2 linked regions of the Drosophila melanogaster genome follow. The gene in region 2 interacts genetically with the main gene of each other region. Each region holds a gene or a part of one and is shown on either strand. Other genes may lie near its edges.

Region 1 (7,484 bases), on a different chromosome or scaffold from region 2:
CGCCCAGTTGAAGTAGTTCGGTGGCAAACTCTCGCTCGTCATCCTTCCAAGTGCGTTCCTCAGAGCCGCCGAACATTTCCATGCGCAGCAATGCGGCCATCGTGGGCCCCACGTATTTCTTTATTGCCATGTATAGCTGGGGTTTGCTTAGAGAAAGAGCAGTGGGTTTGATTGCAGCTGAAGTCCACGGGGACTCCGCTTGCAGTCGTTTTAGTTTGGCATTCTCCTCAGACAGCTTTTCAAACTCGGCCTGCAGTTTATCGTACTCCTGAAGAAGCTTATCGCGATGGGCATCTTCCGATGAAGATGGTTTTTCATCTGGTTCAGACTCGTCCTCACTGTCAGTACTAAGTGGTATGTTCTCTTCAAGGTTTAGAAAAGATTCAGATAAGGTTTCGGAAATGGAATCACTCTGACTATTTTCTTTGCTAGAACTAAGATTAATTTGGATGGATTGGGTGGGTTTCTCCAACATCGGAGTCTTCTGCTCATCCCAGAATTTCTCTTGCAATTGTGTATATCGGTTCAATATCGTACCGTTCTCAGGTGAAGCGTGGGAGTCAGTCTTTTGTGCTTCTTGGGGTAGCTTCCTTTTCTTAGCCTGCTCCTTGGTGGATTCATCTTCGTTCAGTCTATCAGCATCTGCCTCCTGCATCCCACGTTTTCTAACCACAGTCCCTTTAATTGGTCGGTACTCTTTTCTAGTTGGCACTTGCTTTTCTTGACATTTATCGGCAAGCTTTGGCATTTTCATAACGTCAATAATACAACTTTTTGATTTAATTTGCTTTTCTGATTCCTTGGTGACTGTTCGCATCTTGCTTGTATCATCAGTTTGTTCTTTTGGGAGCTGCTCTTCAAGCTGAAACAACTCATTCTCGCTTCCTGATTGACGCTTTACTGGTCTTTTAATCAATTTGATGCCCAATGAAGGCTGAAGTTGACTTATGATATCTAGAATGTTTTGAGGCATAGCCGAAGCGCTTGTTGATGTTGTAGAACTCTTATGCGCCACCGTTGTTTTCTCCGTGTGTACAACCGGCTGTTCCTGCTCCGTAGCCAGCACTTCGTCGGCTTCGTCTTTCCCTTGCGGTTCCTCCTCTTCTGTCAACTCTACTGTATTTCGTTTCTTAACAACATCCAAATTCTGTGTCTCACCATCCACGAATCCCAGAGGACACTCGAAATCTTTAGGTGGTATTAGGTGTTGCTGCTTTGGAGGCGTCAACTTCACGAGAAGAGCTTCACCGTTCTGGTCGAGATTTTCATAGTCTAGTGCCAGATCCCTGTTGATCCTGAACAAAGTGGGCGTCTGCATTGGGATGAGTCTGTCCATTTTGTAGTTCATGAAGCATTCCGCTCGAAAGTGCCGGGCACAAACTGTTTTGGCTGCCAGTTTGGACGGCGGTGCATTTGAAACGTCAGGGTTTGAACAATTCCTGACCCAATCTTTCAACCTCTTCGGATCCTTAACGGGGAACTTGAAGAAGTGCATATTGGGGTTGCGGCTAGAACCCACCGGACAATCACGAAAACAACACTTAGTGCCGCCCATTTGTTTAAATATAAGCAAACAACTTTTATGTTATTAGTGGTGGAAGTGTTAGCGTCAGCTGGTGATATCGATGGGAGGCATCGATAACAGAATTGACCGAAACCAAATGATCGATATGACACTTCTTAATTAATGAGAGATTTTTTACTTGACTGGGCTTGTAGCAGGTTTTGCACAGAAGCAATTATTTTCCGGAATGTGAAATGTCTGCTTTTTAGCTAATTACAACAAAAACTTTCCAATTTTTGTTCCCCAAACCCACTCAAGTGATTTCAAATTTTACCGTCCGCTTAAAATGGAACTAGTTTATTCCAGAGGAACCAGCTTGCACCACCAAGTCTCTGAAACTCTGGAAATATCGATAGTCTGGTGGAGAAAAGTATTCATAAATATAAATAAAAATTAACAGGTCATAAGCTGATTTGTTTATTATTTACTGTTAAAACAAGTAAAATAATATTGGGAACAATTAAATTTTCCATTTTCCTAATTACAGTATAAGCCTAGTGGGCGTTTTGATATCCAATTGTAATGTTTTAAGCAATCCCAGTGGGCTTTGCTCAATCGTTCGGACCACTTAGACGAATTTCCACCAAACTTAGTTCAGTATAATTTTTGAATTCGCCCGCACAGGTTGCGCACTTTTCGACCGTATCACAACACTGATCTACCCTAGTATTCACAGGAAGTTGCATCCCTGGCATCCAGAAGCCTCTAGAAGTTTCTAGAGACTTCCAGTTCGGGTCGGGTTTTTCTATAAAAGCAGACGCGCGGCGTTTGCCGGTTCGAGTCTTGAAAAAAATTTCGTACGGTGTGCGTCGTAACAACAAGCAGCGTCTGAAAAGTTTTGTGAATTTCCAATTCTATACAAAGCAAAGTGAAAATATCTGTATTTTTACCTTTATTCTGTGAATAGAACGAAAAACATACATACAAGGTGAGTAATGCAAATTACAAGAAAAGAGTGAATAGTTTATCAGTGGCTATGGCCAAAATGTGCATTTTGCGTGGTCCTGTGCATCTCGAATGTTCTTGACCCAAATGTGAGATATTGATTTTAAATTTCTAGGAGCCAAGTTTAAGAATTTTTTTTGATTAATTAAGAGGTGGCAACGTGCAAATTAACTCAAAATGCCGGTTTCTTTTATTTTTTGTCGCTTGGACGCATCTTCCAGAGGTTTCTATGCTTTAGCATGAATTAAACATCGTGCCAAATAGGCCTTTTAATTATATATTACTGTCCTTTATTTACAATTACATGTGGTTTATAGAATACAAGATTAATTTTTGTTTAATGCAATGGTCTTTTAGCGCTAAATCGAATTATGCCGCTCTTTTTAGGGGGTGACAATGCGCAAATCACATTTGCCGCTCGAGAATGTTCTAGAGGTTTCTATGCTTTAGCATGAATTAAACAGCGTGCCAAATAGGCTTTTTAATTATAAATTACTGTCCTTCATTTACAATTACACGTGCTTTCTTTGCATTCCCATTTTAAATTGCACATGCCGCATACGCACACATGCACGCCCATGACTAATACTTTCAAGTAAAAATGTGGCGTCAGTAAGCAAATTCTGTTAAATCGGTTTTTTAATCCTATTTGCTCTATTTTAATTGGTTGGTTGCTACTAGCAACTTGCTAGGCGAATTAGTTTTCCTTTGGCTTCTAGATGCTTCCACAAACTTCCTTGGTGAAGTACGAATTTTCAATGCAATGCTCACTCACACAGACACGAGTTTGCACACAGCAGGGGTAGAAAAATTATCAACCGACCCAATTTGCATAATTATATTTAAATATTTAAATTTAAAACATTATTTTGCAACTTAAAATCAATTCTGTTGGCTAATTGAAATTAAAATTCCATTTTACGGGTTGCAAAGTGAATGCTATAATTTTGACCACCACTGTACTTGTATATGCGCATGTTAAATGAGGCATGTGCAAAAGAGAAAGAAAGAAAAAGAATAAAACCGGAGCAGCTGCTGAAAATGCAGCTGCTTTTCCTTAGTGTTGAACCCACAGACTATAACTAATCCTAATGATTTTGTAAATCCATTGCAGATGCCAGAAGAAGCAGAGACCTTTGCATTCCAGGCTGAGATTGCTCAGCTGATGTCCCTGATCATCAACACATTCTACTCGAACAAGGAGATTTTCCTGCGCGAGTTGATCTCGAACGCTTCCGATGCCCTGGACAAGATCCGCTATGAGTCCCTTACTGACCCCAGCAAGCTGGACTCTGGCAAGGAGCTGTACATCAAGCTGATCCCTAACAAGACGGCTGGTACTCTGACCATCATTGATACCGGTATCGGTATGACCAAGTCCGACCTGGTCAACAACTTGGGAACCATTGCCAAGTCCGGAACCAAGGCCTTCATGGAGGCTCTGCAGGCTGGTGCCGACATTTCCATGATCGGTCAGTTCGGTGTGGGTTTCTACTCCGCCTACCTGGTCGCCGACAAGGTGACTGTCACCTCCAAGAACAACGATGACGAGCAGTACGTGTGGGAGTCCTCTGCCGGAGGCTCTTTCACAGTCCGTGCCGACAACTCTGAGCCCCTGGGCCGTGGCACCAAGATCGTGCTGTACATCAAGGAGGACCAGACCGACTATCTGGAGGAGAGCAAGATCAAGGAGATTGTTAACAAGCACTCCCAGTTCATTGGCTACCCCATCAAGCTGCTCGTAGAGAAGGAGCGCGAGAAGGAGGTCAGCGACGATGAGGCTGATGATGAGAAGAAGGAAGGTGATGAGAAGAAGGAGATGGAGACTGATGAGCCCAAAATCGAGGATGTTGGCGAGGATGAGGATGCCGACAAGAAGGACAAGGATGCCAAGAAGAAGAAGACCATCAAGGAGAAGTACACTGAGGATGAGGAGCTGAACAAGACCAAGCCCATCTGGACCCGCAATCCCGATGATATCTCCCAGGAGGAGTACGGCGAGTTCTACAAATCCCTGACCAACGACTGGGAGGATCATCTGGCCGTCAAGCACTTCTCCGTGGAGGGTCAGCTGGAGTTCCGTGCTCTGCTCTTCATTCCCCGTCGCACGCCCTTCGATCTCTTCGAGAACCAGAAGAAGCGCAACAACATCAAGCTGTACGTGCGTCGTGTCTTCATCATGGACAACTGCGAGGACCTCATTCCAGAGTACTTGAACTTCATGAAGGGTGTGGTCGACTCCGAGGATCTGCCCCTCAACATCTCACGTGAGATGCTGCAGCAGAACAAGGTCCTAAAGGTGATCCGCAAGAACCTGGTCAAGAAGACCATGGAGCTGATTGAGGAGCTCACCGAGGACAAGGAGAACTACAAGAAGTTCTATGACCAGTTCAGCAAGAACCTGAAGCTGGGTGTGCACGAGGACAGCAACAACCGTGCCAAGTTGGCCGACTTCCTTCGCTTCCACACCTCTGCCTCCGGCGACGATTTCTGCTCCCTGGCCGACTACGTGTCGCGCATGAAGGATAACCAGAAGCACGTGTACTTCATCACTGGCGAGTCCAAGGACCAGGTCAGCAACTCTGCCTTCGTGGAGCGCGTCAAGGCCCGTGGCTTCGAGGTGGTCTACATGACCGAGCCCATCGATGAGTATGTCATCCAGCACTTGAAGGAGTACAAGGGCAAGCAGCTGGTCTCTGTCACCAAGGAGGGTCTGGAGCTGCCTGAGGATGAGAGCGAGAAGAAGAAGCGCGAGGAGGACAAGGCCAAGTTCGAGAGCCTGTGCAAGCTGATGAAGTCCATCCTGGACAACAAGGTCGAGAAGGTGGTGGTGTCCAACCGCCTGGTGGATTCGCCCTGCTGCATTGTCACTTCGCAGTTCGGCTGGTCCGCTAACATGGAGCGCATCATGAAGGCCCAGGCTCTGCGTGATACCGCCACAATGGGCTACATGGCCGGCAAGAAGCAGCTGGAGATCAACCCCGATCACCCAATTGTGGAGACTCTCCGCCAGAAGGCCGATGCCGACAAGAACGATAAGGCCGTCAAGGATCTGGTCATCCTGCTGTTCGAGACCTCTCTGCTGTCCTCTGGATTCTCGCTGGACAGCCCCCAGGTGCACGCCAGCCGCATCTACCGCATGATCAAGCTGGGCTTGGGAATCGACGAGGACGAGCCTATGACTACCGACGATGCCCAGAGCGCCGGAGATGCCCCCTCGCTGGTTGAGGACACAGAGGACGCTTCCCACATGGAGGAGGTCGATTAAGCGACCAGTCGAAACAAACAACCAAAATTCATTCTATCACTCGCATTCACATACACAATTTACTTGCGTTTCGAACTTTTATACTGAGTTTACTACGGCCGAGTTAAATTTTGTATTCATTAACATTTTGCCGCGTTATAAGCGACAGACATACGCTTAACTCATAAAAAAGCAGGAATAACTCGTTAAATGGTTAGGTTCTCACAGAACATTCAAGAGCAGTTGTCGTTTTAAGAACTTATAATTTAGAATCCAAGTAATTTATGTAAAAAACTAAAGACTACATACGCGCCCTAGTTGGTAGAGCTATATAAAGAATCGAGTATATATATAATTAAGGTTTGATGACCCGATCGATGATAAACATAAAACCAAATAAACAACAAGCAAATGTGTTTTAAAAATCTAACTTCTGAGCGAGTATTTATTGGGGGGAATAAACAATCTATGAATCGGATTCTTTGCGCAGCAGCTGCTCAATGGCCTCCACCGTGGACACTCCCTTGGTTATCATTATTATCTTGTTTCGCGATCGAGATCCCTTGTCCAAAGAAACGTCGCTCTTTCGAAGACCTAGAACTTTCGACAGAAACTTGACCAGTTCGGCGTTAGCTTCTCCCTCGCTGGGCGGAGCGGCGATTTGGACGCCCACTCCTTCAAAGCCAATTCCTGTGATTCCGTTCTGCTTAGCCCCCGGCTTGGCAAGGATTTGTATGCATATATTGCCGCTCTTATCGACTGAAATCGGACTGGCTTCCTTAGCCGGCATCGCTTTTGCATCGTTTTTCGCACTTTCAACGCCGGCCTTTGATTTCCCCTTGCTCTTCGACATTATTTGGGCGTTGACCGATGTAAACAAGCGGCGCATTAGCTTCTTGGCAATTATTTTAAATATTTTGTGTTTTTAAATGCATTTTAATAGCAACTAGTGTTTAATTTTGCGAGGTCTACTGGCGTCTATCAGCTGATTCGTGGAGAAAACCAGGGATGCGCACATATAGGGATGAGCATATCTCGTGAGTTCTCACTCACGAAACGAAGATAAAACTACATTTTTACATTCCATGTAACTTACAGATTGGACATGAATAGTACGATTCAAAAATGTATTTTTATTTTCCTGTTGAGTATTATTTAACGGTTTTCTAAACACATTCCCCCCGAAGTCACCACAACATGTAAATAAAAGTATTAAAACAAAATATGATTAGGTAAAAAATTATCATATATTCATCATTGTTATGTACTCATAGTTTCTTCTCTACTCGTCTTTGCATTAGAAAACAACGCTTTAACACTTTGCACTATTTAAAACTGCGCCGAGAAGCATCTTAAAAATGCATTTATCGCCTATAAATGATCGGGGATCATTATTCAGTTGCTTAGGAGAGAATTGCAGGAATGCACATTGCAGAGCTTACAGTTAAATCAATTAATGCAAAATGCTTTAAATGGACTTAAATTTTGTATGTGTTTTATAGGAGTTGATATTGCAGAAACGATAATAAAGCCAAGTTGTTTGGGGTCATCCTCTGGTTGCACATGTTGCCGGGGACTATTAAGCTAGGGAAGGTGTTAGTAGTAGCAAGTGAAGGTTCCGGAAAGGTCTATTATCTTCCTCCAGATGCACCTGCTCTCTGTGTATCTTATGCGAGGTGAAGCCTTTCCTTACGCGGCGCGTATCGACTGAACAATCTGGAAAATGGC
Region 2 (5,150 bases):
AAGGGCTTCAGTTCAGGGCACTCTGATTACCAATGTTCCTCTTCCGTTGCAGTCATCATCTCCATGTGCTGGGTGGCCGGGACGATAGTGGGCTTCCTGCCGCTTTTCGGCTGGCACGCCGATGTCAATCACAACCAGGAGTGTCTCTTCGTGGAGGTGATGGACTACAACTACCTCGTCTTCCTCTATTTTGCCACCATTATCACTCCGGCTCTGCTGATGCTGGCCTTCTACACGCACATCTACCGGGTCATCATCAAACAGGTGAGTGGTAGATAGATTTTCGCCAGTAAAGTTTTTTATATATTCCATAGAGTTTGGAATATTAACTATCCGTTTTCAATTGAACTTTAAAGGTCCGTCAGATTGTTACGATGAACCCCGCCTCCGATCTCAGTCGTCGCTCCTCGGCGGCCGTGGTGCAGGTGACGACACCCGGAAGAGGTGGACACACGGGAACCATGCTGCGGGTCTTGGGCGCCGCAAGGAAGCGGGACGTCAAGGCCACCCAGAATCTGTCCATTATCGTGCTGTTCTTTATGATCTGCTGGATACCGCTCTATACGATCAACTGCATCAAGGCCTTCTGTCCCGACTGCTATGTGCATCCCAAGCTGACGCTCTTCTGCATCATTCTGTCCCATCTGAACTCGGCGGTAAATCCGGTCCTGTATGCCTATCACCTCAAGGACTTCAGGGCCGCGCTGAAGAACTTACTCCTGAAGATGATGGGCGTGGACATTGATCAGCAGGCGGAGGCAATCCACCGCTTCTCGGTGGCCAGTCAGCATCGCCTGCAGTCCATGGACTCCAATATGCGCTCCACGCAGCCGCGCCTCTATGTGGGTGAGTGTGAGTGCGCGTTGTCTCCTTGGAACTGTGGCAAAATCCCTATAACTCTCGTAACATTCCCTGCAGATTCACCCATTTGGTTGAGGCAGCAGCAGGAGGCCCTGAAGAACTCCCAGCTCCTGCCCAAGTGCGGAGTGGTGTCGCCCTGTTTCAACAACATCAACCAAACGGTGGCCGCCGTGGCTTCGGTGACCACAGATCTCGAGCGAGAAATGTGGAACATAGTGGAGGCCTCCAGTGGCGCCGAGCTGGGTGAAACCAGCTACGAGTTCCCTTCCCCCGCTCCGGGTTCCCAGCGCAGCAGTGAACGAAATAGCAGTTCCACAGTCCCACCAGCTCCTCCTGCTCCTGCGAAGCCCTCAGTTCCGTCCGCCTCCTATGACAACCACAACTACAGTTTCAGCCAGGATGAGGACGAAGATGATGATGATCTGGAGTTTGAGGACGTATTCGTGCCGGCCAGCTCTGTTCCAAATCCCGTTCAGCCTGGCATAGATCCCGTGGAACTGCGTCGCTCCCTGGCTTTGGTCATGAGGGAGAAATTGCGATCGGATGACACGGACTCCAGGCCAATGGGCAACAATCAGGATCTTCCCATAGATGAACAGTCCAGGGAGAGACCGCTCTCCACTCAAACATCTCCCACAAATGGCCCACTTCCGGCTCTTCTGAGGGCCAAACTGCTTGCTGGCAACTCCAATAGCGCTCACTGCCTGCCAGGATCCACGGCGAGTCCTGCTCCCCAGGAGCAATCCGGTATCTTTGTGATCGATAGTGAGGCGAGTCCCGGCTCAAATGGGCACAAGCCTAAGTATCGAAAGGGCACGGCATTCACTCGGAGTTCGCTGAAGAAGAGCCGATCCTGCAACTGTAGCTCCATCGCTAAGGGACGAGGGGTCCACGACGAGCCCAGCAGTAATCTCTGCAGGGATCAGGAGTCCTCTGTACTTCCACAGCATCCGCAGCCAGCCAACCATCCCACAGAGAACTTTTTTAGTCCGCTGAGATCGGTGGGCAGTTTCATGCAGCATTCCAACTTGTTTCACTTCCTCCAGCCTCACGCCGCCCGTCCCACCTCATCGACGGCGTCGTCCACGGCCTCCACGCCCACTCCATCACCACCGCCCATGGGCCAGGCTCAGGAGGAATCGGTTCCAGTGGGTCTGACCACCTCCTCGCCGTCCCTTCTGGCGACCAGCGCGGAGAGTTGACCTTCGCGGTCGGAAAAGAAGCGGGATCAGCAGGAAAGTCCACTGGAAGAGGATCACAAGGATGCGAAAGGGGTAAGGGGTGACCCCTGAGGAAATACTCGCAAGTCAAAGCTTTTACGTTAAGTACTTTCCAGCTCTCTTAGGCTCTCTTTCGGAAACGTTGTCAAATTCTATATCGGATCTAAATCAATTAGTTCGGTAGTGAAATATAGAGATTAGGAGCTATGCGCATTTATTTTGAGTGTATGGTCATAATACGTTTCTACGGACTAGTTAATTATGTACATACATATGTTTAATGTTGTTAGAGTATTTACTGTGTATATGTCAGCTTATGTATACCTGAACGTCTGTGAAAACCAAGTTAAGCCATGCGACATGAATTTCAAAGTTGAAGTTAAATAAAGCGATTAAACCAGAATGTACATTCATGTTGTGTTTTATTTTTGTTGGTTAAATAAGTCCTGATGCGATGTATGCCTATTGGTAGGGTATACAAGTTTTTCTTTTACATATGCTAGTATAGCGGATTTTGGCAAGCCTGTTGATAAAAGCTTTTCCAGAGCTTTTTGGAAGCGACGCCAAAACTATTGGAGCTCACTTGCTCAAAGTTCCCCATCAGATGGTTGGAGTCACTGCTAAATCTAAAACCGGCAACATTTTTAAAACCCCAACAAGCCGTTTATATAATTTCAGAATAACTTTTACTACTCCTTACTTACTATTGTAACCACAATAGAAATGCCGCCTGGAGTACTCAATGATCTGAACAGGAACGGTATCCAGTGCATTGCATCAGTAACGCTTCTCCAGCGATTCCCGTATCATCGGAACCACCACACCATCCCCACCATGGACCAGAACCGACCCACTGTGGGTGGTGTTACGGCGGAGGTACTAAAAGCCGTCGTTTCGGAAGCTCTGCTGGGCAAATTCACAGCTGTTTTCCCAAAGCTTTTCAAGTGCCAGTGGAAGACTTACGAAGGTCAAAAGAAGGTTAGTACATAAGCAGACGAACTTCGAGGTGGGTGTGTGCTCTGTGCCGGGATTAATCTCGAATCTGGGAAAAATCTGAGTGGAAAAGTCGACGGCGAGCCTCCAGTCATCGAGTTACCCACTTGAAATTATCAGTTCCAAACACTCTAATAGCAGTCCCCTTGTTTTGTCCCCCGATCCGCAGTTCTACGCCAATTTCAGCACCGATTGCACCGACAGCAACAGCAACAACATGAGCCGAAAGTTCTGCGTGGGAGGCAACTGGAAGATGAACGGCGACCAGAAGTCCATCGCCGAGATCGCCAAGACCCTGAGCTCGGCCGCCCTCGACCCCAACACGGAGGTGGTCATCGGCTGCCCGGCCATCTACCTGATGTACGCCCGCAACCTGCTGCCCTGCGAGCTGGGTCTGGCCGGCCAGAATGCCTACAAGGTGGCCAAGGGCGCATTCACCGGCGAGATCTCCCCTGCGATGCTGAAGGACATCGGCGCCGACTGGGTGATCCTGGGACACTCGGAGCGTCGCGCCATCTTCGGCGAATCGGACGCCCTGATCGCCGAGAAGGCCGAGCACGCCCTGGCCGAGGGCCTCAAGGTCATCGCCTGCATTGGTGAGACCCTGGAGGAGCGCGAGGCCGGCAAGACCAACGAGGTGGTGGCCCGCCAAATGTGCGCCTACGCCCAGAAGATCAAGGACTGGAAGAACGTGGTGGTGGCCTACGAGCCCGTCTGGGCCATTGGCACCGGCCAGACCGCCACACCCGATCAGGTAAGGTCGCCCGCAGAGGCTAATCTCTTCCAGAACTGATATTTTCCCTTCCCAATTGCAGGCTCAAGAGGTCCACGCCTTCCTGCGCCAGTGGCTGAGCGACAACATCTCCAAGGAGGTGTCCGCCAGCCTGCGCATCCAGTACGGTGGATCCGTGACCGCCGCCAACGCCAAGGAGCTGGCCAAGAAGCCCGACATAGATGGCTTCCTGGTCGGAGGCGCCTCCCTGAAGCCCGAGTTCGTGGACATCATCAACGCCCGGCAGTAAGCAACGCGATCTCAAGCATCAGATCGCTTTCGGCCAGCGAACTGCCCGCGAAGGAGGCACTGGAGGGCAGGACTCCATACTCCTGCGCGCGAATGCATTACGCACACACCTAGTTGTTGTCACCACCAAGTGCAGTTCCAAATTCATAGTTACCTTGCGAGAATGCTACTCACATCCTTGTTGTTGAACGTATAGTAGTCCATTGTGTAAATCTTAAATTATTCAGGCAATAATTATGCGCTACTCATTTACTTATATACCAAACCAAACAGGTGTCTTATTTTTTGCAAGACTATTTCAGCTATTTTTAGAGCGATTGGTTGAACGACAAGGTGTCCAAAGTTGTGTGCACATATGTACATATATGTGTCACCTCTGCGGACCTTAAACCGAACAAGTTATTACTTAATTTCTGATAAGCATGCGAAATGGCAAATATTTGGAATATGAGTTCCAACTGAGTAATCGAGGCAATCATTGTATTCACTTACCTAACAAGTGAATCAAATCATTTGCATCATGTTTTTGACAATATCTTGCATAAAAGCCTTCAAGAAGAAGCAATGCATCATAAGATAGCTTAACTTGAGATAAGAAAGGAAAACAGTTTGTACTTATTATACTTTATACTTATACTCAGAGTTCATTTCTAATCGAAGTGTTCGAAGATTGTGCACAAAGTTTGGCAAATATGGAGCTAAACAAGGCAATTTCTTTGTAGCTGATAAGTTATTTAGCTTAGTAAGTAATTTATGGTTAGTAAATCAACAAAATATTATTCAGTTTTTCTCAAAACATGAACAGGCTGAGAATTCTTGAACCCAAGTGGCCTTAGATACATTATCGATTTGACAAGCTCTAGTTCTCCGTTTTTGAGCTTTTTATTGTCATTTCTGATCCTGAACACATCGATTTTATTCAGACTGGAGTTTTATATCAGAACAAATTAAATAAGTTTTTAGCCAAATCTTTAGAGAGTAAAGAAAATTTTAACTTGGTTTTAGCGATAGTTTCCCTAGAAGATCAACATGACGCAGTACTATGTCTTTGACGT

What was found. Genes that interact genetically often act in the same process or in processes that back each other up.
Region 1: of Tpi (region 2) and Hsp83, changing one suppresses a phenotype caused by changing the other (phenotypic suppression), as found in Drosophila melanogaster (one study listed by BioGRID).

Annotation. Positions count from the first base shown.
Region 1 is NT_037436.4:3,190,876-3,198,359, forward strand, and holds Hsp83 (heat shock protein 83), read left to right. Parts: upstream 1-2,093; 5' UTR 2,094-2,492; intron 2,493-3,623; coding exon 3,624-5,777; 3' UTR 5,778-6,184; downstream 6,185-7,484. Other genes in the region: CG14965 (uncharacterized protein), read right to left, coding at 1-1,555; CG14966 (uncharacterized protein), read right to left, coding at 6,223-6,645; CG32276 (uncharacterized protein), read right to left, coding at 7,446-7,484. UniProt on the Drosophila melanogaster protein: Molecular chaperone that promotes the maturation, structural maintenance and proper regulation of specific target proteins involved for instance in cell cycle control and signal transduction. Undergoes a functional cycle that is linked to its ATPase activity.
Region 2 is NT_033777.3:30,132,188-30,137,337, reverse strand, and holds Tpi (triose phosphate isomerase), read left to right. Parts: upstream 1-2,738; 5' UTR 2,739-2,804; coding exon 2,805-3,059; exon of another isoform or gene 3,060-3,243; coding exon 3,244-3,828; intron 3,829-3,889; coding exon 3,890-4,096; 3' UTR 4,097-4,357; downstream 4,358-5,150. Other genes in the region: AdoR (adenosine receptor), read left to right, coding at 53-264, 357-852, 919-2,063; CG31029 (uncharacterized protein), read left to right, coding at 5,125-5,150.